3 linked regions of the Canis lupus familiaris genome follow. The protein of the gene in region 1 binds, or shares a complex with, the protein of each later gene. Links are inferred from orthologs where the notes say so. Each region holds a gene or a part of one and is shown on either strand. Other genes may lie near its edges. The genes, in order: GRB14, HRAS and INSR.

Region 1 (7,431 bases):
TGTTGCTTTATATTATGGAAGAGTAACTTTTCATCTTTGTATCATATTACTTTTAAGCCCTAAAATAAGAAACTAAAGACTGGAAAGAATTTTTATAAAAGCAGTTGCTTTAGGTGAGTATTTTTATAAATTGTCAGCTTACCTTTATCTTTCAATCCACATGTATATAAAGAATAATGGATTTTATTATCTTAATCCTTTTCTAAATCCTTGTAAATTTCTCTTAGAGTCTAATGTTATTAGGATGAGCATGTTAATAGTAGCCATACATTTGGAGGCAGTTGTCTAGAGTCCTCTTAATCATAGGAAAAAAATTGTCATAAACAAAGTACTTTCTAGTCTCATCATATGCATATGAGCATGGTATTATTCTTGCCACTTTCCACTGAAAGTGGTCCTATTGTTGATCGATATCATGGTGTTGGTTAGTGTAACTGCTCGTTCAACACCATGTATAGGGAAAGACACTTGAATGAATCTGGATGGAAGTGGGGATTTTGTAGGGGGCCTGTGTAGTGAGGAGCTGGCTGTCCGGTATAGCAGTTGTCAAGATCAAACAGAACAGCACTTGAGAATTATATCTCCACTCTTCTTAACTTACATGAAGGAAACTGAGATGTTTTGGGAGGTATTTGTGTTTACTTTGATGTCTACACAGAATCCCACCTTTCTAGGTTATCACGGAAGAATCAGTGACCTATATAATGGATGCCAGTGCTCCTCAACTGCCTCTGCTGGTTTTCTTCCAAGCACTATCTTCAGTGAGAATAACTGAGTATACTTTAGTTATATTTTTAAAGGAACAATATTCTTAACTCCTCCAGGGATACATTTTGAGAAGGGAAAGAAGAAAAAAAGTTTTTCCCATACCACATTGCACATCATAGCTAGGTACAGCACATCATGGCCACCCCTATCTGCCTTTGAAATAAGAATCATAAACAGATATTTCAGGAAGCCAAATATCTGGTCCTTTTCAGCACAAAGGAGCGTCTGTTAGGATGGCTGGGATGACTAGAGCATTGGGATGGGGAAAACTAGTCTACTCAAGTCATTATCCTCACTCTTATGCCTGAGCTAGATGTGGAAAACTGCACTTTCTTCCTGTACCTCCTACTCTGTGGTACATAAAAAACCTTAGAGAGGGTCTGCAACTGCTTTTACCGTAAGCTACCTGTGTGACCTTGGTTCAGTCACCAGTGTCCTGCAGTGTAAAACAAGGCGGACAGTTGCTTACGTTCGGGAATTGATTATATCTCTGATGTCCTGTGACTCTGTATGAAGCAGATATCAGGAACTCCTGTGCCCTCTTGCTAAGGACTGTGCTGCAGGCTTATCTACATCTTTCCAATAGGGTGACAGAGAGTGTGTGGCTACTAGTCATCACCTACCTAAACTGCCGGGAAAACATTTTTATGTCCAAAGCTCACTAGGAGTGACTGGATCTGATCTCATAGTGTGGCTTGGATAATCCAAGGTGTAGCCAGACTTCTTCTTTCTTGAAAAAAGAGATGTGTTATTAAAATCATGGACCCTTTTTCAGGGCTTGCCCTGTTTATTCCACCAGAAGAAAGAGCTAGAAAAAGGGACCAATATTTGAGAAATACACTGATCCTGAATGTTATCAACATCACTTTCTTACGTGAAAGAAATTGAGCTGAAAATGACCTTTTGAGTTCAAGTCAGATTCTGCTTCACTTCTATTTCTTTGTCCACCAAAGGTAAACTATTAATTTTTCATCCACCACCTGCTATTCAATAGAAAACATTTGCTATATTCCCGTGTTTTCCCTAGTGTTGTTAATGTAGCAAATGAAAATATTTATTTGTACTGTAGACTCCCTACTAATGTCAAGTAATTAGGGAACACAGGAACTTGTTTTACATTCTATCCTGTTGTAGGAAAACAAAAACAAAAACAACTGGCTATGTTTATTTTTCTTTCCTAACAGTGTTTTTGTGTTATCAGGACCTTGTGATTAGAGCACCCATCTTGGCATGTGAAGTAGAGATATTATAAGGATAAAGCTATCATTATGATTGAGATTAGTTACTCTGTGGTTTGGGCAGGTGGAGGCTTTTCATTAATGTCAGCAAAGCAGAAGTGTACCCGACTGGTCTACAGCCCGGCACAGAAGATCATGGGGTGAGAAGGGCAAACTAAGGTGTGACAGCAGATAGAGATTACAGAGACAGCATCTGTCTGGAAAGAGCAGCTGTCAGTTACAAAGGCTCCTGTAACAAATGAAAGATTGCATGCCGGATCTCTAGAAATAAAGATGAACCGTAATAAGATTGTGGACCACTACAGCAGGGTTTGAAGAGGAAATAGCAAACGCTAACGATGGAGGACGTATGATGCAGTGATAAGTGAGCCCCTGATTTTTTGCATAGACAAGGTTTTCTTTCAAGCATACATTTGGCTACAGGGTTTTAGACCAAGCTAGGAAGGGCTGAAACCACGTGGAGAGCTGTAAAACAGACTTAAGCTGTGAGTCTCCAGGGGCACACTGGCTCTTCCTTTACCATTAGAACTCCATTTTTTGTTTCGCTCCCCTATTAATGAGTAGAGAGTAAGTGTTGAACATTGTCCATGCTGTTTTTGAATTTTTTTTTTTTCCTTTGGGAGAGTGCTAATTCTTACAAACTGAGGCTCTTGACGGGTGATTTGAAAATGTTTTCTTTTTTTAGGATGCATGACTGGGAATGGCACTCTTTTTTAAAAGATGCTTGCAAAGCAGAGCCCTAAACAAAAAAATAAAGTCTAGGTTTGGATATATTCACCTTCAGAGAAGACAAAAAGTAATGGCAGAGGGAAGACTGTATTACCTGTCTAAATTATCTTTGGTGATGTCAGTTCTTTTTCTATCAGATTTATTTTTGTAGCTCTCAGTTTGTCTTTTTTTTTTTTTTTTAAGATTGTACTTATTTATTCATGAGAGACACAGAAAGAGAGAGAGAGAGTTAGAGAGGTAGAGACACAGGCAGAGGGAGAAGCAGGCTCCATGCAGGGAACCTGACGTGGGACTGGATCCCAGGTCTCCAGGATCATGCCCTGGGCTGAAGGTGGCGCTAAACCGCTGAGCCACCCAGGCTGCCCAGCTCTCAGTTTTTCCATGTGTGTCCTCACAAGATGAAAAAAATACTCAGATATTAGATCATAGAATTTTTAATATTATGGAATTAGCAGAGCCATTATTTCACTAAATTTTCTTTTTTTTTAAAGATTTATTTCTGCAAGAGAGAGAATGCATACATGCGCATATGTGCATGAGCTGGGGAGTGCCAGGGGGGAATCTCAAGCAGGCCCACCCCCCCTCCGTGGATTGTGGAGCCCCCACACAGGGCTTCATTTCACAAACCTGACTTCATGACTTGAGCTGAAATCAAGAGTCGGAGCTCAGCTGACTGAGCCACCCAGGCACCCATAAATTTTATTTTCTAAGTAAGATGAACATTGATGTGATACAGTTTTAAAATACATACTGTAGTTTGTTCCATTATGAAATATGAATACTATTTCTTTCTCAAGAAGTGATGTAAGTCAATCTGTTAAAGCTTTTGTCTGTCTTGAGTCTTAGGAAACAGCTGCTTCATCAGTAAATAGAGTTGACATTTTTTAAAAATTGTATTTATTTATTTGAGAGAGAGAGATAAAGAGTAAGAGAGCATGAGTGGGGGCAAGGGAGAGGGAGAAGCAGACTCCCCGCTGAGCAAGAACCTGACATGGGGCTCCATCCCAGGACCTGAGCAGAAGGCAGATGCTTAACCAATTGAGCCACCCAGGTGCCCCCACAGTTGACATTTGAATGATAATGGATGAATCGCAAATCATAGTAGAGACTAGTTCAGAAGTGGTGGGTCTTTTAGCCACAGGAAGAGTTATTTCTTTCTAAATTGGCGTGTTCCCATTTTACTAGAGAATATGAAAAGATAGGGTTCTTCTAAGAGAAAGACATGCTAACTTTGAAAGCTTTTAGTCTCTTTTCTCAACCACTTAATTCAGCCTTGACAAATAACTATGTAACTTATTTAACCAAAATATTTCATAGCACCTTTTTTATCTTAAATATGCACTTTTGATTTTTTAAATTTCCTGCCAGCCACCTTTGGAATCACACATTCTATAGTGGAAATGTATTGCCAGCAGAATACTAAGAGATAATTTTCAAAGATATTTTCATGGTAAAAAATGTGGTTTTTTTTCCAGAGAAGTATATCAGAGAATTCTCTCGTAGCAATGGACTTCTCAGGACAGAAAAGCAGAGTTATAGAAAATCCCACAGAAGCCCTTTCAGTTGCTGTTGAAGAAGGACTCGCTTGGAGGGTACAAATAGCTTCACATTCTTCAAAATATTTATGATTTGAGTCTGTCTCACCCCAAAAATTGAAATTTGCTTCCCCTTTCTTTGTGCAGAAAAAAGGATGTTTACGCCTGGCCACCCACGGTAGCCCAACTGCCTCTTCCCAGAGCTCTGCCACAAACATGGGTATGTCTCTGCCTGTTCACGGGGACTGGATGTCTGGATGGATGGGCACTTTGGTATGGTGACTGGGTGGCTCTGGTGGAAAGTATATGTAATGAAATTGTGAGCATTTCAAACAGAGTTCTGTATTCCTCCACTTTATTTCCTCAGCCATCCACCGGTCCCAGCCATGGTTTCACCACAAAATTTCTAGAGAAGAAGCTCAGCGATTGATTATTCAGCAAGGACTTGTGGATGGGTAAGTTTGATTTTGAATGGTAGTGATTTTGAGTTCTTTTAGAATCAGTAATTACTTAGTTAATACACATAGTTTTGACTTTAGCTTATGATAACGGAAGTGACTTTGTTCTGTATGGGAGCTTACCATTGTATCCTAGCAATACCTACATAATACCTATTACATCCCGTGTGCTTAGTAGTTGTGCATAAATGAACAGATAACTGAATAGGACACTCTGCTGTTAACCAAAAATCACTAATATTGCCCATTCTGTGCCAATAGTAGTATCTCAGCTAAAACTGAACTTGTTTTGAGGTATCCACATTTTGATTTGAACATGGGATTCCAAAGTGTAGTTTGTGTCATGGCATAATCTTACATGTTCTGTATAGTTTTAAGTTTGATACAGACTGCATTCAGTTTAAAACTTTTATGTATATTTTGACTGCTTGTTTTTTTTCTCTCTTACATTCCTATGTTATCTAAATTTTAACAGCTTAAAGTAGTGTAACTATGAAGAGTACTTGAGTCATCTTTTAGTGGGGTACCATCGGAGATATAAGAGAAATGTCAATTGTATTATGAAATATTTACAATCTAAAGAATTTTCTTTTTCTCCAGTTACTCAGTATTTCAAATACTTTCTATAATACTGGCTAAATTCCCTTTTCAAATGCAGTACAAATCAAGGAGGTTGTATTGAGGTTTGGATGAGAAATGAAACCAGCATCAATTTAAACAAGTGGTGATGGGATCTTTTATCTTCAAGGGTTGGCTTAAGATGATGACAAGATTTCAAGGTGATTTAATACTGACATTTGGATAAAAATGCATCTTCACATGGAAGATTATTAATAGCAAGTCAGCATTTCACTAGACTCTAAATAAGAGAAGATTTTAATATACTCTATGTGGAGCACAGTCTTTTTAGATATAAATTTGAACAATCAGCAGAATTACAATCTGATGAGACCAAGAAAAATAAATCACAAAGAATCGTTAAAATGTTTTGGAGGATTATAATCTCCCTACTCTCAGAGCCTGGTTTTTATAAATTGAATAAAATAATTGCATAAAGGATGGTAACATCTTTATTTTTTTTAATATTTTAATAAAAAATTTGAGGAGGGGGACAGGATCCTTTGGAAAGATGTGATGATGCCAGGCAGTCCACTAGATGGTGGTGGTGATCCGCTCGGGAGTGGGGAGGGAATTACAGCTTGTCTTACCAGTGAAACTCCCTTTTGTCCCATCTCCCAGTGATGTAATGTAGGAATCTCACATGGTACAAATGAAATGGATAATCTCATCAGACATCTGTGATGGCTCAAATTCGGCTGCCTCTTTGCCCAGGCACAGTGAGATTAGTATTGGAGCCACCAGGGGGGATCGTTTGCACAATCTGTTTGCCAACAATTAACACAAAGCTGGTTTTGCACTCTATTGCCAGTAAATAAGAATCCACGCCTGGTAGCATTTTTCCCTTAGGCCATCAGGCCATGTCTTATTTTGCTAGCCTGACATTATAGGGGGTTTTCTGCTGCATTCTTCAAGATTAAAATATATATTGTTTGGGGGTTTCTTTTACTTAAAATAGTGTACTCAAACATTTAATAGGTGATCAGGATTGATTTTGTTGAATATATTCATTTCTCAGTTTCTGTTGGATATGTAACAGGAACCAGAATCAAAAGAAAAAGGAGGATCAGTGTTGAAGAGGGAATTTTCTCTTTTCAAGGACTAACATAACCCAGAAGTTAAAGTAATGATATGCTCATGCCCCCCATTCTCTGCAGAAATGTGTTACATGTGAATACCCAATTCATCAATGGAAAAAAAAAATAGCACTAATTATTGATGTCAGCATAGCATTATATTTCCTTATTCTGAGCGAACAGTCTGACAAATGGGCTGTGTATTTATTTTATTAAAATTTAATTAGCACTGATGACAGTTGTATAAGATTATGTTATACCATATTGTTTACCATGTTGGACAATCCCATCATTGAACACACAATAAAGGGAAACTGTGGCTAAATATTTCCTGGATTTATTACATGCTATATTTTTTTCTGAAATACATGAGTAAATATAGAAACATATATTGAAATTCCTTCTCTCTCTTTAGAGTTTTCTTGGTACGGGATAGTCAGAGTAACCCCAAAACTTTCGTACTGTCAATGAGTCATGGACAAAAAATAAAGCATTTTCAAATTATACCAGTAAGTAATTTGTGATTTCACATTCGTGTATTAGAGATGATCTTAATGCATAAGCTTTGGGAAACTTTGGTTTTCTTTGGATCTTTTATTAAATATAACTGGGGTGATTGTGCTTTGACTAGACTTAAGTTTGGCAGAAACGGTTTTATGAGCCTGAATTAATATAAGAAATACAGGAATTGTAAAAATTCAATTTCCCTTTTTCCATGAAATATGATTTACCAATATTGTATAGACCCCATGCCACCTATTGTTAAAAGGCCACTAAAGATTCTTTCTGAATTCTACTACCAGTTCTTTAAAAACCATTATTTTCAAACGCTGTCTTTTTTTTTTAACAAATGACCTAAAATATTCAGTGAGAGACAATTTTTTTTAAAGATTTTATTTATGTATTTGAAAGAGAATGAGCAAGTGAGAGAGCAAGCACGAGCAGAGGGAGAAGCTGAGCAAGAAGCCTGTCGCTGGGCTGGATCCCAGGACTCTGGGATCACAACCCG
Region 2 (7,427 bases), on another chromosome or scaffold:
TGCGGCCACCCTGCCTGCCACTCGGGTGGCCTCTCTGCCTCCGTGGCCCAGGCTAATGCCAGCCCTTGGCCTGGCTCAGCAGCAATCTGGGTCCACTCCACGCCTCCCCCCTTCGCTGCAGAGGGAGGGGCGCTGCGGGCAGGGCCTAGTCTCTCCTAGGTCCCCACTAAGGGAGTCTGGGTCGCCACCTCCTCCTCTCCTGCAGGGGCAGAGCCTGGGGTCCCTCCTACCCTGGGGCCTGGGAACTCTTCGGAGCCCGGCTACCGGTCGTGGGCTGAGCCCCTGGAGACCAGATTGGACATCTGGGGGTACCGCTGAGCCCCCACTGGCTTTGCTGCTTCATCCTGGAGCAGCCATCGGCCTCAGTTTCCCCCCAGGCACGGGGGAGGTGCAGCGAGGCCTGAGGCCCCAGGCCCAAAGGTGTGCTGGGCTCTCACCAAAGGGGTCGGTCTCGGTGCCACGGGCCGGGCGCCCTCCGCCGCGGGGCGCGCCTTCCGACTCGGGGTCGTTCTTCCGGTGGCGGGGTTGCGGCCCTGGGCGCCATGGCAACGGGGCCGGGGCATTATTTGAATGCTCAAATATTCATGAGCCCGCGGGACTCTCCGAGGCTCCGCGGTCGAGCCACGCCCCTTAGCAACGGCTGCTAGGGCAGGCCGGGGGCGGGGCGACCGCGGGCGCATTCGGGGCCCGGAGGGTAGGGCCCCACGTCGTGGGCTCCCGTGGGCTGGGAGGGAGCCGGGGCGGAGGTGAGGCCCCACCGGGCGGGGTACCAGCGCGGACCGGCCGGGTGTCAGCGCCCGCGAAGGCGGTTATCAGGCGGAGCCCAGCGCCCACCTTTCCCGGCCCTGGCCCTGCGGGAGGGACCCCCTCCTCTAAGGGTGGCGATGCCAAAACAAAAGGAAAGCGCCCCCGAAGACGAGGGAAATGCAGACCTGGACACCGGGAGGGGTTTGGGGTGTCCGCGCTCTCGGGGGACGCCGCCACTCGCTTTCACTGCCGCTCCTTGACTCCGCGTCTGTGCGCGTCAGCGGGCGCCGGGCTCTGTCCTAGCCACCGCGCAGTGCACGGGCCGGCCAACCGGCCACGGCCTCGGCACGTGCTGTAGGCGATGTGTGCGGGCGGGGCAGCCCCCCCCCCCCCGAGGGGCCCGCCAAGGTCACGGCCTGCAGTGGGAGGGGCTCCACGAGAACAGCGCGCGCCGGCACCGGAGGGGGCAGGACGGGAGGGCGGGCAGGGCCGCCAGAGCGGGGCCAGCCTGGGCCTCCTGCGGGCTGCACCGTTCTTCCTTTTTGTAAACAAGCACGGTGTGTTGATGCACTACTTTGAAATTTAAAATAAAATGTCGAAACCACGTCTTTTTTGAAAGTCTGGAAAAGATGCGGGGTGTGCGTGTTCGCGCTCCGGATGGGGGAGCCGTCGGCACGCAGCCCTCGGGCAGCTTTCGGGCTGGTTTGCAGAGGGCCCATCGTTAACTGGGCCCCGCGCAAGCGTCTGCAGGGCCGGAGCCTCCGGGCTAGGGGGCTGGGCGGGCCGGCCTGCAGGGGGAGGCTGAGGAGAGGGGCGAGGCTGCGGCCCAGCGAGACCCCTGGGGCGGGATCAAACGATGCTCCGCGCCGCGCTGCCCCTTGTGGCCTGGGCGCCCCGGGTGCCGCGCGCACGACGAAGCCGAGGTGCCAGGCGCCCGTTCCGGAGCCACCTGATGGGAACGGGGGTGTAGGGCACCGAGCCCCGGCCATGAGGCCCCAGAGCTCGGGGCGCGGCCCGGCCTGCCCCGGCGCCCGCCTCCCGTCCCGGCCGTCCGCCCGGCGCGCCGACCCTGACCCTCCTCGAGCCTCGTCTCCCGGCCTGACCCCTCCGCTGGGCCTCGCGGCGCAGGGAGCCCCCCACCGCGGGACACGGGCTCCCGCCGGTCTGCAGCGCCCCCGCCCCGGTGCACCGCCGCCCGCGGTCCTGTCGGGCAGCTCCCCGCGGAGGCCGCCGCCCCGGCCCGCGCCTCTCGCGCTCCCGCCGAGCGCCCGCGGGCGCAGCCCAGCCCCCCCAGGCCGCGGCCCACGAGGGCCTCCGGGGCCGGGCACCGCCCTCCGCGCCGCTTCCCGGAAGCCCCGCCCGGCCGCGGCCCGTGACGGGCGGGCGGGCCGGCCAACCGGCGCGGGGCGGGGCGGGCCGGGGCGGGGCGGGGGCGTGGCCCGACGGCCGCGGCCAATGGCGAGCCGCGCCTGCGTGACGGACGGGCGCGGGGCGGGGCGTGCGCGCCCTCCCCCCCGAGTGTCCGCCCGCCCGCGCCCGCAGCCCGCAGCCCGAGCCGCACCCTCCGCGGACGGAGCCCATGCGCTGGGCGAGCCGCGCGCCCCGGCCCCGGCCCCCTTCCCCGCCCCCGCCCCGGCCCCGGCCCCGGCCCCGGGGGCAGTCGCGCCAGTGAGCGGTGAGTGCGGCGGGGGCGGCGGGCGGCGGGGCGGGGCGGGGGCGGCCGGGGCTGCGGCGCCGGGCGGTGGAGGCGGCGGCGGCGGCGGGGCGCGCGGGGGCGCAGGTGAGCCGCGGGCGGGCGCTGCGGCGGGTGCGGGGTGCGAGGTGCGGGGTGCGGGGGCGCCCCGGGCGGCGGCGTCCGCGCCCTCTCCTCCGCGGGCCGCGTGCGGGGCCCCCAGGTCGCCAGGCGCGCCCCCGAGGCCCGGGCGGCGGGCGGCCTCCGCGATGCACAGCGGGCGAGCCGGGCGTTCGCACCGGAGCCCCGGGCACCGCGTCCCGAAACCTCCCAGACCGGGAGCCGGGCCGGAGGCCGCGGCCCAGCGCCGTCCCCGCGCCTACCCCGCCGGCCTGCTCCCGGGGCCGCCATCCCCGCAGCCCGCCGCTGCTCTCCTGCGAAGCTCGAGCGGCCGCGGGCCTGGGGCTCCCCCCGGGACAGGAGGGCCCGGGCCTCGCCCCCGGAGCAGCAGCTGGCGGCCGCGGGCGCTCCGCAGATGCTAGTCCGGTGCAGCGAGGCGCGGCGGGGCTCTGGCCTGCCCGGGCACGCTGCTGCACTCCGCTGTGGCAGGACCTGTTTCTGCGGGGAGGGGCGGTAATCTCAGCCTGCAGGGCCTCCGGGTCCCTCCAGTGCACGCTTTCTGCCTACCCAGCAACTTCTAATTTGGGTGCGTGGTTGGGAGATGCTCTCAGCTGTCAGCTCTCCCTGCTCTCTCGCAGCCATGAGCGCCGGCGAGGTGCCTACCCCCCCCCCCCCGCCGCCCCCCCCGCTGGAGGTGCCACAGGTGGGCGGCTGCGCCCGGTTCCCTGGTTGTGTGGGGCCTGGGGACCGGGTCGGGGCCGGGGTGGTCTGCCCCACGGGGCTGGCTCAGGGCTGAGAGCAGCTTCCTCAGCAGGTGGGACAGGAGACCTCGTTGGCGTCCTGTGCTGCGTCCCGTGAGGAGCCATGACGGAGTATAAGCTGGTGGTGGTGGGCGCTGGAGGCGTGGGCAAGAGCGCCCTGACCATCCAGCTCATCCAGAACCACTTCGTGGATGAGTACGACCCCACCATCGAGGTGAGCTCGCCCAGCCCTGAGCCTGCTGTGGGCATGTCTGCTGTGGGCTCCGCAGGAGGGCGGCCCCTGCTCGTGGGACCTGGGGGTGGCACCTGGGGACCTAGGAGGGGCTGGTGGCTGGGTGGCCCCGTCCTCGGAGGTGTGGGGCTGGGCGTTCTGAAGCACTGGCCTGCCGCAGGACTCCTATCGGAAGCAAGTGGTCATCGACGGGGAGACGTGCCTGCTGGACATCCTGGACACAGCGGGCCAGGAGGAGTACAGCGCCATGCGGGACCAGTACATGCGCACGGGGGAGGGCTTTCTCTGTGTATTTGCCATCAACAACACCAAGTCCTTTGAGGACATCCACCAGTACAGGTGAGCCTCCGGCCGGCCCTCAGAGCCACCTGTTCCTCTGCCTCTCATCGCGTTTCTCTGTCAGGGTCTCGGATGCAGCCGTGCCTGCAGCCTACCGACTGGCTCCCACCTTCCTTCTTGTAGGGAGCAGATCAAGCGAGTGAAGGACTCTGACGACGTGCCCATGGTGCTGGTGGGGAACAAGTGTGACCTGGCTGCTCGCACCGTGGAGTCCCGGCAGGCGCAGGACCTCGCCCGCAGCTACGGCATCCCCTACATCGAGACGTCAGCCAAGACGCGCCAGGTGAGCCGGCTCCCCACCCCGCAGCTAGCTGGGGACCCGCCCCGCCCCGCCCCTGCCAGGGAGCAGTGCTTATTGCCCCCTCTCCCCCGACACAGGGCAGCCGGTCTGGCTCTGGCTCCAGCTCCGGGACCCTCTGGGACCCTCCGGGACCCCCGTGACCCAGCGGCCCCTAGCGCTGTAAGTGTCCCCGGACGGCAGGGCAGCGAGGGAGGCCGGGGCCCAGGGTTTGGGCTGACACAGCTCCAGGGAGAGGCAGAGGTCCCCAGAGAGAGCTGCCCTGAGCCAGGCCGAGTGGTGACCCTGGGGCCCTGGCCCCTGCCCGCAGAAAGCCCCATGGGCCCGTGTAGGCCCTGCCCTCTTTAATGGGCTGTGGGGGACCAGGGTGGTAGGTCAGACAGGAGCGGGACCCTGGATGTTAGAGCTGGGAGCCAGACCTCGGGGCTGCCCTGTGGGGGAGCTCCTGAGGGCCAAGCCGCCTGATGGGGGGAGCCCTGGGGCTGCCTGTGTGGGGGCGGGGTGGGGAGAGGCCAGGGGGAGCTGGGATGATGCATGAGCTTGACGCTGGGGTCCCTCGGTCCCCTGCGCTGCCAGGCCCCCGGGCCGAGCCGCACGCTCAGCCAGCCCCGTCTTCCCAGGGCGTGGAGGATGCCTTCTACACGCTGGTGCGAGAGATTCGACAGCACAAGGTGCGCAAGCTGAGCCCGCCCGACGAGGGAGGCCCAGGCTGCATGAGCTGCAAGTGCCTGCTGTCCTGACGTCCCCTCCAGGGCCACGTTGGCAGCCCCGCTGGTCCTCTGTGCCCCAGGCGCACAGGCTCGGGGCGAGGAGGTGCCGGAAGCTGGGAGGAGGCGCGGAAGGAGGAAGGAGGAGGGCGAGGAAGGAAGGAAGCGCCCCCGGGGCCCGGCCAGCCCAGGCCCCCTGGACAGGGGGAGCACGGACCTCCCAGGGCGCTTTGCACAGACTGTCGTGAACTGAGGCCACGGGCCCCCCCGGCTGTCACTCTCCCCCAGTCCCGTCCTTGCCCGCGGGGCAAAGGCTGAGTCGCAGTAAATTATTTGATGGTCTTGACCCTGGCGTATGGCCGCACCTGCAAGGCACGTGGGGACGTCAGCTGTGTGTGCCTGGCGGCGCCCCTGCAGGGGCTGGTCGGGGCCGGGAGGTCCCCCCTCCTCCTCTCTGGGGGTGTCTCCACACCCCGTGCACAGAGCTCCGGGAGACGCAGAAACGAGCCGGCCGTGCATTTTCACACAACACCTTATTGAACTTGCAACAGCAAACGGGCTCAGAGCCGAGGGTGTGCGCCTTCCCCTGGGAGACCTTCCTGTCCTTAGAGGAAAGCGGGAATCCCACGGGGGTACGGGTGCTGGAGTCGCCCACTTTGGAGCCTGTGCGGACTCCGGGTGGGGGTGTGTGTCCTGAGGTTGGGGTGTTGAGAGGCGGTTCTGGGGACAGCAGAGCTGGCCTGGACCTGCGGCCCATGGGCTCCTGCTCTAGGTCCCCGCAGGGCAGCTGGACCCCGGCCTCGGGCCCACTGGGGCCGGGTGACTGACTGCTGGAGCCCCAGCACGTGGAGGAGCCTGCCTCCTGGTGTGGGTGCGGGTGGGGCCCACGGGCCTGCCCCTGCTGCCCTGCCCTGGGGTGTCCCGGGATCCCCAGGGCTGCCCTAGGTCAGTGACCTGGATCTGTGGGGCACGCCCAGGGCCCAGGAGGCCACATCCGGCTCTGAGAGGGCTCGCTCAGCCCGGGGCCAGAACGCAGGCCTGGCCAGGGCCCCGGAGCACTGGATCCCATTAGTGCTGGGCCTGGGGGGCAGTTCTCGAGTCGCCCCTGCCCCCACAGAGCCTGGGGCCAGGCCAGCCCAGGTCCCTCTGGGTCAGGGGTTGGTGTCCTGTGCGGGGGGTGCCGCCCTCCGGGAGGGACAGCAAGATGAGGCAGGGCACGGTGACGGCGGGCCAGAGCCTCTGGGCCCCCGCACTCACCACCACGCTCTGCCCGCGAGCATTGAGCTGCCCTGTGGACGCAGAGGGCAGAGGGTCCCGGGCCTGTGCGGGGCCTCGGGGCAGCGGGCTCAGCGCCGCCCTGGCTCTGCCCTGGCTGTGCCCGTCACTGCCCAGCGAGAGGCATGAGCTGCAGTGGCCGCGGGGCAGGAAGGGTGTCCTGGGCCCGACAGCGTCGTCCCTAGGGGGCTGGGGGGACCCCGTGATGGGAGTCCCGGGGGTGCTCCAGGGCCTGGTCCGTCGCGGGGCCTCTGGGGTGGCCCAGGCAGGTGCCGAAGGGAAGGGGACCCCGTTTTTTGTCTTCAAGCCCACCGTGTCCGGGGGCCACCTGCCCGCACCGTCTTGTTACACTGGGAGGGTGGGGAGGGAGTTCCATCGCTGGGGGGGAAGTTGGACGATGGCCTGGCTGGGAGGGGGTCCGGGCGGCTCAGGCTGGGTGGCTGGGCCCGGGGAGGCCTGCTCCTCCACCCTGGGCGGTGGCTCAGAGGCCGGAGAAGGGAGGAGAGGCCTGGGCGCCGGGGACACTCGCTTCAGGCCGAGGGGCCTCGTGGGGAACTCCAGGTCCCGCTGGAAAGAGGCTGACGGGGTCAGCGTCTCCAGCAGGCTATGTGTTCCCCGCTGGGGGCCCCGGGGGTCCTCAGCTCCCTTGTGGCCCCCCCGCCTGACCCTGTGCTCAGCCCCCCACACTGGTGCCCGGGCCCTGCAGTGGGTGCCTGCCCGCCCAGCCCTAGCCTGGAGTCCCCAAGGCTAGAGCAGAAGAGGAGAGCCCCAGAGATGAGGACGGGGGCTCTGTCCCCTTTGGGTGGCCCCAGCAGGCCGAGTCGGGAGGGGCCGGGGCCCTGAGCCCACCTGGGTGGGGGCAGGTCGCACCGCATCCTCCGGAGCTGGGTCATGGAGGCCCGAAGGTGTCTGAGCACCGCCTCGTCCTCCAGGGCCCAGGGCTGGGCCGGAGAGTCCTGGAGGAACTCCCGGAGCCCTTCCAGGGGCAGCTTCAGGAGGCTCTCTGGGCAGTGGGTGAGAGTCAGACCCAGAAGGCCCTGCCCTGGGGCCCCTAGTGCCCCCAGTCCAGCGGCTGGGGTCCCGCTGTGTCCAGGAGCGCCGTGGGCAGTGCGCTGGCCGGGGTGGCCCCTGCCCGCTGCTCCTCTCAGGGAGCCCCACTGCACCCGCCTGCCCCGCCGTCCCCCCCGCCCCAGGTCTGGGTGCTGCTCAGAGCACAGGGTCACCGCCCCTGCCCCCTCCCCACCTCTGGGCTCCCAGGGGCTCACTTACTTGTGTG
Region 3 (7,600 bases), on another chromosome or scaffold:
TGGTGGTGTCTCTGCTTCTGTTCCAATGATTTTAATAAAAGGCAAGGGTTGACTTTCAATTTTTAGATGGCTGTTTTTTTGGAGGGCTTGGAGGGTTTTGCGAAAGAAACAGTGAGTGGTTTCAGGAAGTGGTGGTGTCTTCATTTTCAGGTCACAACTGAAATGATCAGTCGAAATGATTCTTTCGACTTAGGTCCAGCACGCAAGTCCTTGTCCTGAAGGATTTCCAGAGGACAGCGTGTTTCCTTCCGCGTGGTTTTCAGCACACGCTTCCTGCCTGGGAATGTGGTGATTTTGGGGGCTCCCACGGGTCAGAGGGAAGCCCACAGCTCTGGACAGGTTTGCACAAGAAGGAAGGGGAACAACATTTATTGAACCTACAATTCTTGATACTCTGGGACTGCAGCTACTCTGTGTTCTCTCTGGGTCTATGTTTGCCCCATCGCAGATATTATTGGAAAGAAAATCAAATTATGTCAGCCCTTTTGTGTACACCTTCTAGTAGCTTCCCATTGCTTTTAGGATGAAGGTGTTTTGGGAGAGGGCTTAACATGATCTATCCAAGGCTCTTCCCCCTTCTAATTCTGCCTTTGAGTCCACCTTTGCTTGCTTGACCTCCCTCTAGGCTCCAGCTCCAGTGCCTGGGTCAGTTGGGGGAACACCTGCCTGTCCACCTCTGGGCCCCTGCTCATGCTGGGCTCCCAGCCTGTAACACTTCCCTCCTGTCTTCCTTGGCTGACTCCTCCTCATCTCCAGATTTCAGCTTCAACTCACCTCCTTGGGAGGATCCTTTCCCTACGCCCCACCCCCACCCCACATTAGGCCCCAGGATTGTTTAATCAAGGATCCCCTCTCTCGCCAGACTGTGAGGTCTACAGGGAAACTGAGTGTGTTTATTTTGCTCACTGTAAATCCTCATTACTTATTATTGCATGTTGGTTCTTCCATTCAACAAATATTTATTAAGCAACAGATATATCAGGCGCTGGGTGTAAAATAGTGAAGAATTTCTGCTTCATGGAGTGGGGAGACCATACACAAAAAACCCAAAGAATTTCAGGACAAACTAGAGTGATGTAAATAACAGGGACCAGAACAAAGGGATGGGGGGGGGGGGGAGGCGGCGTTTGCAAAGTGTGATCAGGGAAGGCTCACTGGGGCACCGAGGGGCAGCCAGCCACTGGAGGGACAGGCGGAGGGAACAGCCAGAGTGAAAGCCAGGAGGCAGGATTAGGTTTGGTGCCTTAGAGGAACAGTGGGCTCAGCTCCTGGCTAACTAATATTTGCGTAATGGACCAGGGGGAAGAATGAGCGCCCTCTGCCTAGAATTGTGCCGGGCGCTTTCTTATGCTTTATTGCTCTTGCACCTCGTCAAATCGGACCGGCAGGGATTGTTACAGGCATTATAGAGCCGAGGCCAACCCAGCCAGAGAGTAAAGTCCCACGTCCAAGGCCACACAGGAAGTGAGGGGAGGGGGAGCCAGATTCCACTCGGTGCTGGCTTTCTATACCTAAGGCTCCTTCCCCCAGCTCAGGAAGGTGGCTTGGCTGCTATGGTGCCCTATTCGTGAATGACACTTGCTGGACATTCAGACACACACAGGGACTGTGGGTCTGTGTGTTGAAAACGGGGTGTGTCCACCTGCGCTGGAACCCGGCTCCGTGGGGCCTGGTTCGCTCTTCTGCGAGGTTCTGCACGTTGTCCCAGGTGTCTCTTCTCCGACTTGCACCCCAGGCCGCGCCTGAGGCCCCCCTCCCTCGCCCCTGCCACGGAGCACACGGAGCGCCCTGGGCGCGCGTGCACGTGGCCGTCCGCAGGGCCCCGGGCGCGGGGCGGGGGCGCCCTCGCGTCTAGTCCGAGACGCGCTGGCAGGACTGGGACGAGGGTGACGCGAGTGCAACATTTACGGGAGTACCAGAAACCCCAGGGACCAAGATAAACAGCGTTTTAATGAAATCTTAAAAAAAAAAAAAAAAAATCAAACCGAACCTCCCAAAGTCCACAAGGGAAACGAAATAGCGAAAAATGTTACGGAAGGGATCCGTCCGGATGGGTCGGCATCGGGGGCGCCCCCGAGGCCCGAGACGCCGGGGCGCGGGGCGCGGGGGGCGGGGTGCGGGCGCCTCCAGCGCGGGGGGCCCAGGCGAGGGCGGCGGGCGGGGCGGCGCCTCCCCGCGGCCGTCCTGCCTCCCCCTCCCGGGCCTCTCCCGGGCCTCTCCCGGGCGCCGAGTCCCTTCCGAGTCTCGATCCGCGCCGCCTTTTCCCGCGACCCGCGCGGGGCCCAGCTGACGGGCCGCGTTGTTTACGGGCCGAGCAGCCCTCGCTCCCGCCGCCCGCCCGCCGCTCGCCAGCCCAGGTGCCCGCCCGTCCGCGCGTCTGTCCGTCCGCGCGTCCGTCTGTCTCGGCGTCCGCAGATCGCGGCCCAGCGCGCTCGGGGCGGAGAGCCGGGCGGCCGGGGCGCAGCGAGGGGCTCCGGGCCCTGAGATCGCGGGACGGGCCCCGGGCCGCAGGGGTCCGGGTCGGGGCCGCCGCCGCCGCCGCCGCCGCCGCCGCCGCCGCCGCCGCCGCCGCCGCGGGATCTGCAGCGGCCGAGGCCCCGCGCCCCTCGGGGGCCGAGTGGGGGCCCTCCCGGGCGGGGCCGCGGGCGCGGAGAGGAGGGCGCGCGCCCCGCGCCGCAGAGCATGACCCCCGCGGGCCGGCGCCGCGCGCTCTGAGCCGCCGGGACCCCGCGCTCCCGCAGCCATGGGCGCCCGGGCCGGGCGGGGGGCGGCCGCCGCGCCGCTGCTGCTGGCGGTGGCCGCGCTGCTGCTGGGTGCCGCGGGCCACCTGTACCCCGGAGAGGGTGAGTCCGGGGGCCCCGGAGGGCGGCGGGCGGGCGCGTGGGGGGCCACCGGGGACCCCGCGCCCTCCCCGGCGCGTGTGGGGGCGCGGGCGGCCGCGGCGGGAAGCCGCTGACCTTGGCCTTTGCCCGCCTGGGCTCGCGGTTCTGCGCCCCGCGTGCGGGCCCCGGCCCCGAGGAACCTTGCCCCAGTGCCCGCCCCGCCGCGGGCGCCCCTCCCGACGCGCCTCGCACCCGTGCCCGGCCCTCTCCAAGCCCCGCTCGCCCGGGAGACGCGACCCGGGTGCCCGCTGGGTCCCCGGGTCCGGGCGACCTGGGGGCACCGCATGCCGCGGGCGCACGGGGTCCCTCGGGGTCTCTGCGGATGGGCGCCCCAGGCGGGGCACTGCAGAATCCCACCCCTCTGCTTGGACCTAGGCCGGTGGCTACCCGGACTTCAGATCCATGTTTACACTTTTGGGTTCTGTTTCCAGATGTCCGGAGGCAAACTCTAGCGCCTTGGCAACAGGGCCTTTGTTGTAGCAGAAGGGGGCGGGGGGGGGGGTGTTGTCTTTATTATGATTATTATAGTTAGGGTCACCGAATGCCCCGGACTGATCTCTCTGGACCTTCACAGTGGCCTCCGGAGGTCCATACGCGTTACCCATTTCATAGAGGAGTAAATTGAGGCTGAGGTTAGGAGACGGTTCGATTTGCCCTAAAGTCAGGGCCAGAGGGAGGACTCTAACCTCTCTGTGTGGTGCCCTGGGGAGGCTCTGGACTGCTGCATGTCCTATGTCTCCCCATAACCCCCACACCCCCCCCTCCAGCTCTGCCTTTCACAAGGGCTCTTTTACCTGCCAGTCCAGGGAGGTCTCTAACCTCAGGAGAGGCTCTCACACCCCCTAGCCCCATGGACTTCCCTCCCCAGCCTCCCTGCGCTGGCAGCAGATGGAGGCAAACCCCAACTCCAGCATCGGCCTTGGGCTTGGTAGCCGTCCTTTCTGCTTGTGGGGCAAGAAATGAAGAACCTTTAAGAGAACATGGCTGGAGTTCCCCACTGGTGTTTGAGGCCCCACTTTAAAAATATCTGTTGGGTTACTTTTTCAGAATTGTCCATAAAAGGAAATCAGTCATGGTGAGGAAGGGGTCGGGGAGGGAAGGAAAGCAGCTCCTGAGCTCCCTGATGGGGAATGAGGTCCCTGGCAAAGCACGCACAGGCTCTGGCGTTGACAATCCAGGTTTGCGGAGCTCCTCTCTCAGTTACACCACGGTTCCGAGGCCCAAGTGCTTGGTATACAGCGGGCGCTCAATAAAGGTGGCAGTCGGCTTGAGTTCTTGTTAAGAAACTCCAGACAAATGTTAGGACTAGTCTAGGATTTGTGTATGTATGTATGTGCGTGCGTCTGCACACGTGCATGTGTGTGTGTGGTTCCCTGCTCTTCTGTTCCTTGTAGCTTTGGTAATTTATTGTGGACTTGTGCCTGGGCTTGCAGGGCCCAGGAGGTGGATTTACCGCTTCTTTACATGTTCACAGTTTCCACAGGGGTAGAGGCATATACTTCTTTTGTCCACTGCGATGTTTCCAGAGCCTAGAACAGTGCCTGGCACATAGAAGGTGTTTGGTTAAAATATTTGTTCTTGGTTCAGCTCATATTCTTCGTGTTCTCACCAGTACTCCAAGCTATGGCTTTTTCATTCCTCGGGTAATACCCAACTTAGACATAGTCATAAGAGCAAGCTCTTGGCGGGGGCTTTTCCATGTGCTCCGAATATATAATCTTAGTTAATCCCCACCATGGCCTTGTGGGGTGGGGTTTATTATCATTTTTCCCAGGTGAGGCAGTTTGACTAGGCGGCAGAGCTGCTGAGGACCCTACTTGGCCTGATTTCTTCATAAAAGGTGGCTCTCTTGGGTTTGAGCTTCCCTCCCACCGACCTGTGGTAATGGTTAACAAAATCCTATTGAATAAATGAGATGTGATGCCCCTCAGAGGTTCGGAAACCTCGAGAAACTTTACAGATCATTAATCTCTAATGTCAGCCTGTAGGGCGTTTTGGTTGGGGTGGTGGCGGTGTGATGTTTAAGAAGTGAAGGACTTTCTTAGGGGGGGATGTCCTATGGGATGTGCTACTTTGGCCCGCTCTCCTGTGGAGTCCCTACTGCTCTGCTGAAATGGGTAGTGTCTCCCCCCTCTGTTTCTCCTCGGACTGGCTGGCAGTGGCCTGAGATTACTTGGGGGCATTGCAAAGTTAAAGGATGAAGGCAATGTGGGATTAATTAAAAGAAAAACCTGCGGGGCTTCGGGGGGAGTCCAGCGAGTTGGCTAATTAAGGTGAGAGAGGCTCGCTTCCAGAGCGCCCTGGTTTCTCGGGCACTCCTCATTTCACAAGGGTGGCCTCGGATGTCTCTCTTGTGTGTCCTCTTGTGTGCTTTGGGGGCCCTCGGAGCAGGACTTTTGCCTACTTCCTAACCTCCCTGAGGTTATTCTTAACTTTTGCTTCCCTCCTGGAGCCCTGCCCGCCATCCTTGTCCCACTCACTCATGGAGGTCATTGGGGTGGGGCTCCCTGGGGTCCCCACTGCAGCCCACTCCGTCAGTGACTCAACCTGGATAGAGTAGATCCTCTCAACTTCATCGCTCTTAATATTTGGGTTGAGACAGTTCCCGGTTGTGGGGGGGCTGGCTGTCCTGTGTATTGTGAGGAGTGGAGCCGCATCCCTGGCTTCTCCACCCACAAAATGCCAGTAGCACGTCCCTCCCTCCAGTCATGACAATCAAGAGTGTCTCTGGGCATTGCCAGCCGCCCCAGTTGAGAACAGCCACATTCAGGAAGATAACTTTTTCTTTGTCTAGGACACTTACCCACCTGGGTCCCTGCTCTCTTTGTTCCAGGATCAATACCCCGCCCCTCGACCCCCGGCCCACCACCCGCCTCCAGCCTTCCCCTGCCAAGCCTCCCCGGTGGGCTCTAACCACCCTCCCTCTCACCTCTGGCCCACTGTGCTGCCCGCAGCATCTGGCTAATGTCTCCATCGCTTTGCTTTGCCCATGGCTCTTGTGAAGGTAATCCCTCACCTCCCAAGTGCGTCTCCTGTCGCCTCACCCCAGCTGACCTCTCGGGGCCTGCCACTGTCCACTCCCTCCCCTCGGGGAGGGCAGGAAGGCACGGTTTCCTGCAGAGTTTTCACCTGCACCTGGCTCTCTCTCCATCCTCTCTGCTCCCTTCCCTGGGCTCAGATGTTAGCTCTTTCTTCCTAGAGGGCCAATCCCTACTGCCATCCACTCTCAGCCCAGTTGTGAATTTACGTAGTCAGACTCCTTCATCTAGAACAGGGGCTATCAAACTGTGGCCCACAGGCCAACTCCCGCCTGCCCACACCTGGTTTTGTGAATAAAGTTTTATTGGCATCATCTTAACAGTTGCTTTTGTGCCCTAATGGCAGAGTTGAGTAGTTGCAATTGCATGGCCCATAGAAATGTGTATATCTTGGCCCTTCTCGGGGAGAGTTTTGGGACTCCTGATTTATGACAGACTCTTTGAGGATCATGATGACATGCCTAATCGCTTGCGTGGCCCCTGGTATGACATGAGTGCATCACGAATGCTTGGGGATGCTGTGGCGTGTTCCCCTTTACAGAGACATGTACGCTCTCTGAACATATGGGTTCCAACGGGGAGAAAATACCATGATGTCCCCTCCTTAGCTGTGTCTATGGTATCAAGATTTATTTATTTGCACAGTCATCTTGGCGTTGAATGAGGATCCCTCGCTGTCGGCTTTGTGTCTAGAACTCAAAAGAAAGTGGTGTCTGCTGTGCGATTTTCTTTCAAGACCCCTGGTGTTACTTTCTATTAAGAGTACATACATTAGGGGCGCCTGGGTGGTTCAGTCCATTAAGCTTCTGCCCTCGGTTCAGGTCATGATCCCACTGTCCTGGGATTGAGCTCCGCTTCTGCTCTGCGGGGAGCCTGCTTCTCCCTCTCCCTCTGCCTGCTGTTCTGCCTGCCTGTGCTCTCTCCCTATTAAATAAATAAAGTCCTAAAAAAGAATACATCCGTGAGGGGCGCCTAGGTGGCTCAGTCAGTTGAGGGTCAGACTCTTGATTTGCTCAGAGCATCATCTCAGGGTCGTGAGATCGAGCCTCGGTGCGGGCTCCCTGCTCAGCGGGTAGTCTGCTTGAGATTCTTTCCTTCTCCCCCTGCCCCCCTCCTCGCTGCATATGCATATCTGCTCTCTCTCTCTCTCTCTCTAAAATAAATAAATCTTCTAAAAAAAAAAAAGAATACATATGTTGGCTTATGTTTTGCAACGGGACCCTATTTATGGGTTTTTAATTAAAATAACAAGTAATGCATGCTCATTGCAAAAAAATTTACAAAAACCTGGAGAGGAAAAAATCAAAGTCCCCCTGCAACACTTTGTCCCTAAAATCATGCCATTTCTCTCCTGGGAAGTGACTGTGCTTTTGTTTGCATCTTAAAAATTGCGTGTGTGTGTGTGCGCGCGCACAGTTATGTGAATTTTAACCTTCTTTTTTAAAAAATGTATTTATTCATGAGAGACACACAGAGAGAGGCAGAGACACAGGCAGAGGGAGAAGCAGGTTCCCTGCAGGGAGCCCGATGTGGGACTCGATCCTGGGTCTCCAGGATCACCCCCTGGGCTGAAGGCGGTGCTAAACCGCTGAGCCACCCAGGCTGCCCAAGTTTTAACCCTCGGATAGAGTTGTGTGACTGCCCCCACACTGGGATACAGAACAGTCCCATCACCCAAAT

The links.
Region 2: the proteins of GRB14 (region 1) and HRAS are in contact, whole or in part, in a crystal structure (PDB 4K81), measured with the Homo sapiens proteins. The link is inferred for Canis lupus familiaris from reciprocal best matches to the Homo sapiens genes GRB14 and HRAS. Residues at the interface, in NP_004481.2 of Homo sapiens: Val109, Lys111, Asp116, Glu117, Thr118, Ser119, Arg120, Ala121, Leu122, Asp123, Lys140, His142; in NP_001123914.1 of Homo sapiens: Glu31, Asp33, Pro34, Ile36, Glu37, Asp38, Ser39, Tyr40, Arg41, Tyr64, Met67.
Region 3: the proteins of GRB14 (region 1) and INSR are in contact, whole or in part, in a crystal structure (PDB 2AUH), measured with the Homo sapiens proteins. The link is inferred for Canis lupus familiaris from reciprocal best matches to the Homo sapiens genes GRB14 and INSR. Residues at the interface, in NP_004481.2 of Homo sapiens: Glu373, Asn374, Ser375, Leu376, Val377, Ala378, Met379, Asp380, Phe381, Ser382, Ser386, Val388, Ile389, Glu394, Val398, Ala399, Glu401, Glu402, Gly403, Leu404, Trp406, Arg407; in NP_000199.2 of Homo sapiens: Leu1065, Arg1066, Ile1069, Glu1070, Lys1112, Arg1116, Arg1163, Met1180, Arg1182, Tyr1190, Lys1192, Gly1193, Gly1194, Lys1195, Gly1196, Leu1197, Leu1198, Pro1199, Val1200, Trp1202, Ser1207, Leu1208, Lys1209, Asp1210, Gly1211, Gln1235, Asn1242, Glu1243, Leu1246.

The regions. Positions count from the first base shown.
Region 1 is NC_049257.1:10,012,525-10,019,955, reverse strand, and holds part of GRB14 (growth factor receptor-bound protein 14), read left to right. Parts: intron 1-4,210; coding exon 4,211-4,327; intron 4,328-4,417; coding exon 4,418-4,490; intron 4,491-4,637; coding exon 4,638-4,725; intron 4,726-6,837; coding exon 6,838-6,931; intron 6,932-7,431. UniProt on the Homo sapiens protein: Adapter protein which modulates coupling of cell surface receptor kinases with specific signaling pathways. Binds to, and suppresses signals from, the activated insulin receptor (INSR). Potent inhibitor of insulin-stimulated MAPK3 phosphorylation.
Region 2 is NC_049239.1:25,991,860-25,999,286, reverse strand, and holds HRAS (GTPase HRas), read left to right. Parts: upstream 1-3,348; 5' UTR 3,349-3,403; coding exon 3,404-3,514; intron 3,515-3,692; coding exon 3,693-3,871; intron 3,872-3,994; coding exon 3,995-4,154; intron 4,155-4,241; exon of another isoform or gene 4,242-4,249; coding exon of another isoform or gene 4,250-4,312; exon of another isoform or gene 4,313-4,789; coding exon 4,790-4,909; 3' UTR 4,910-5,222; downstream 5,223-7,427. UniProt on the Homo sapiens protein: Involved in the activation of Ras protein signal transduction. Ras proteins bind GDP/GTP and possess intrinsic GTPase activity.
Region 3 is NC_049241.1:52,555,447-52,563,046, reverse strand, and holds the start of INSR (insulin receptor), read left to right. Parts: upstream 1-2,763; 5' UTR 2,764-2,843; intron 2,844-7,600. UniProt on the Homo sapiens protein: Receptor tyrosine kinase which mediates the pleiotropic actions of insulin.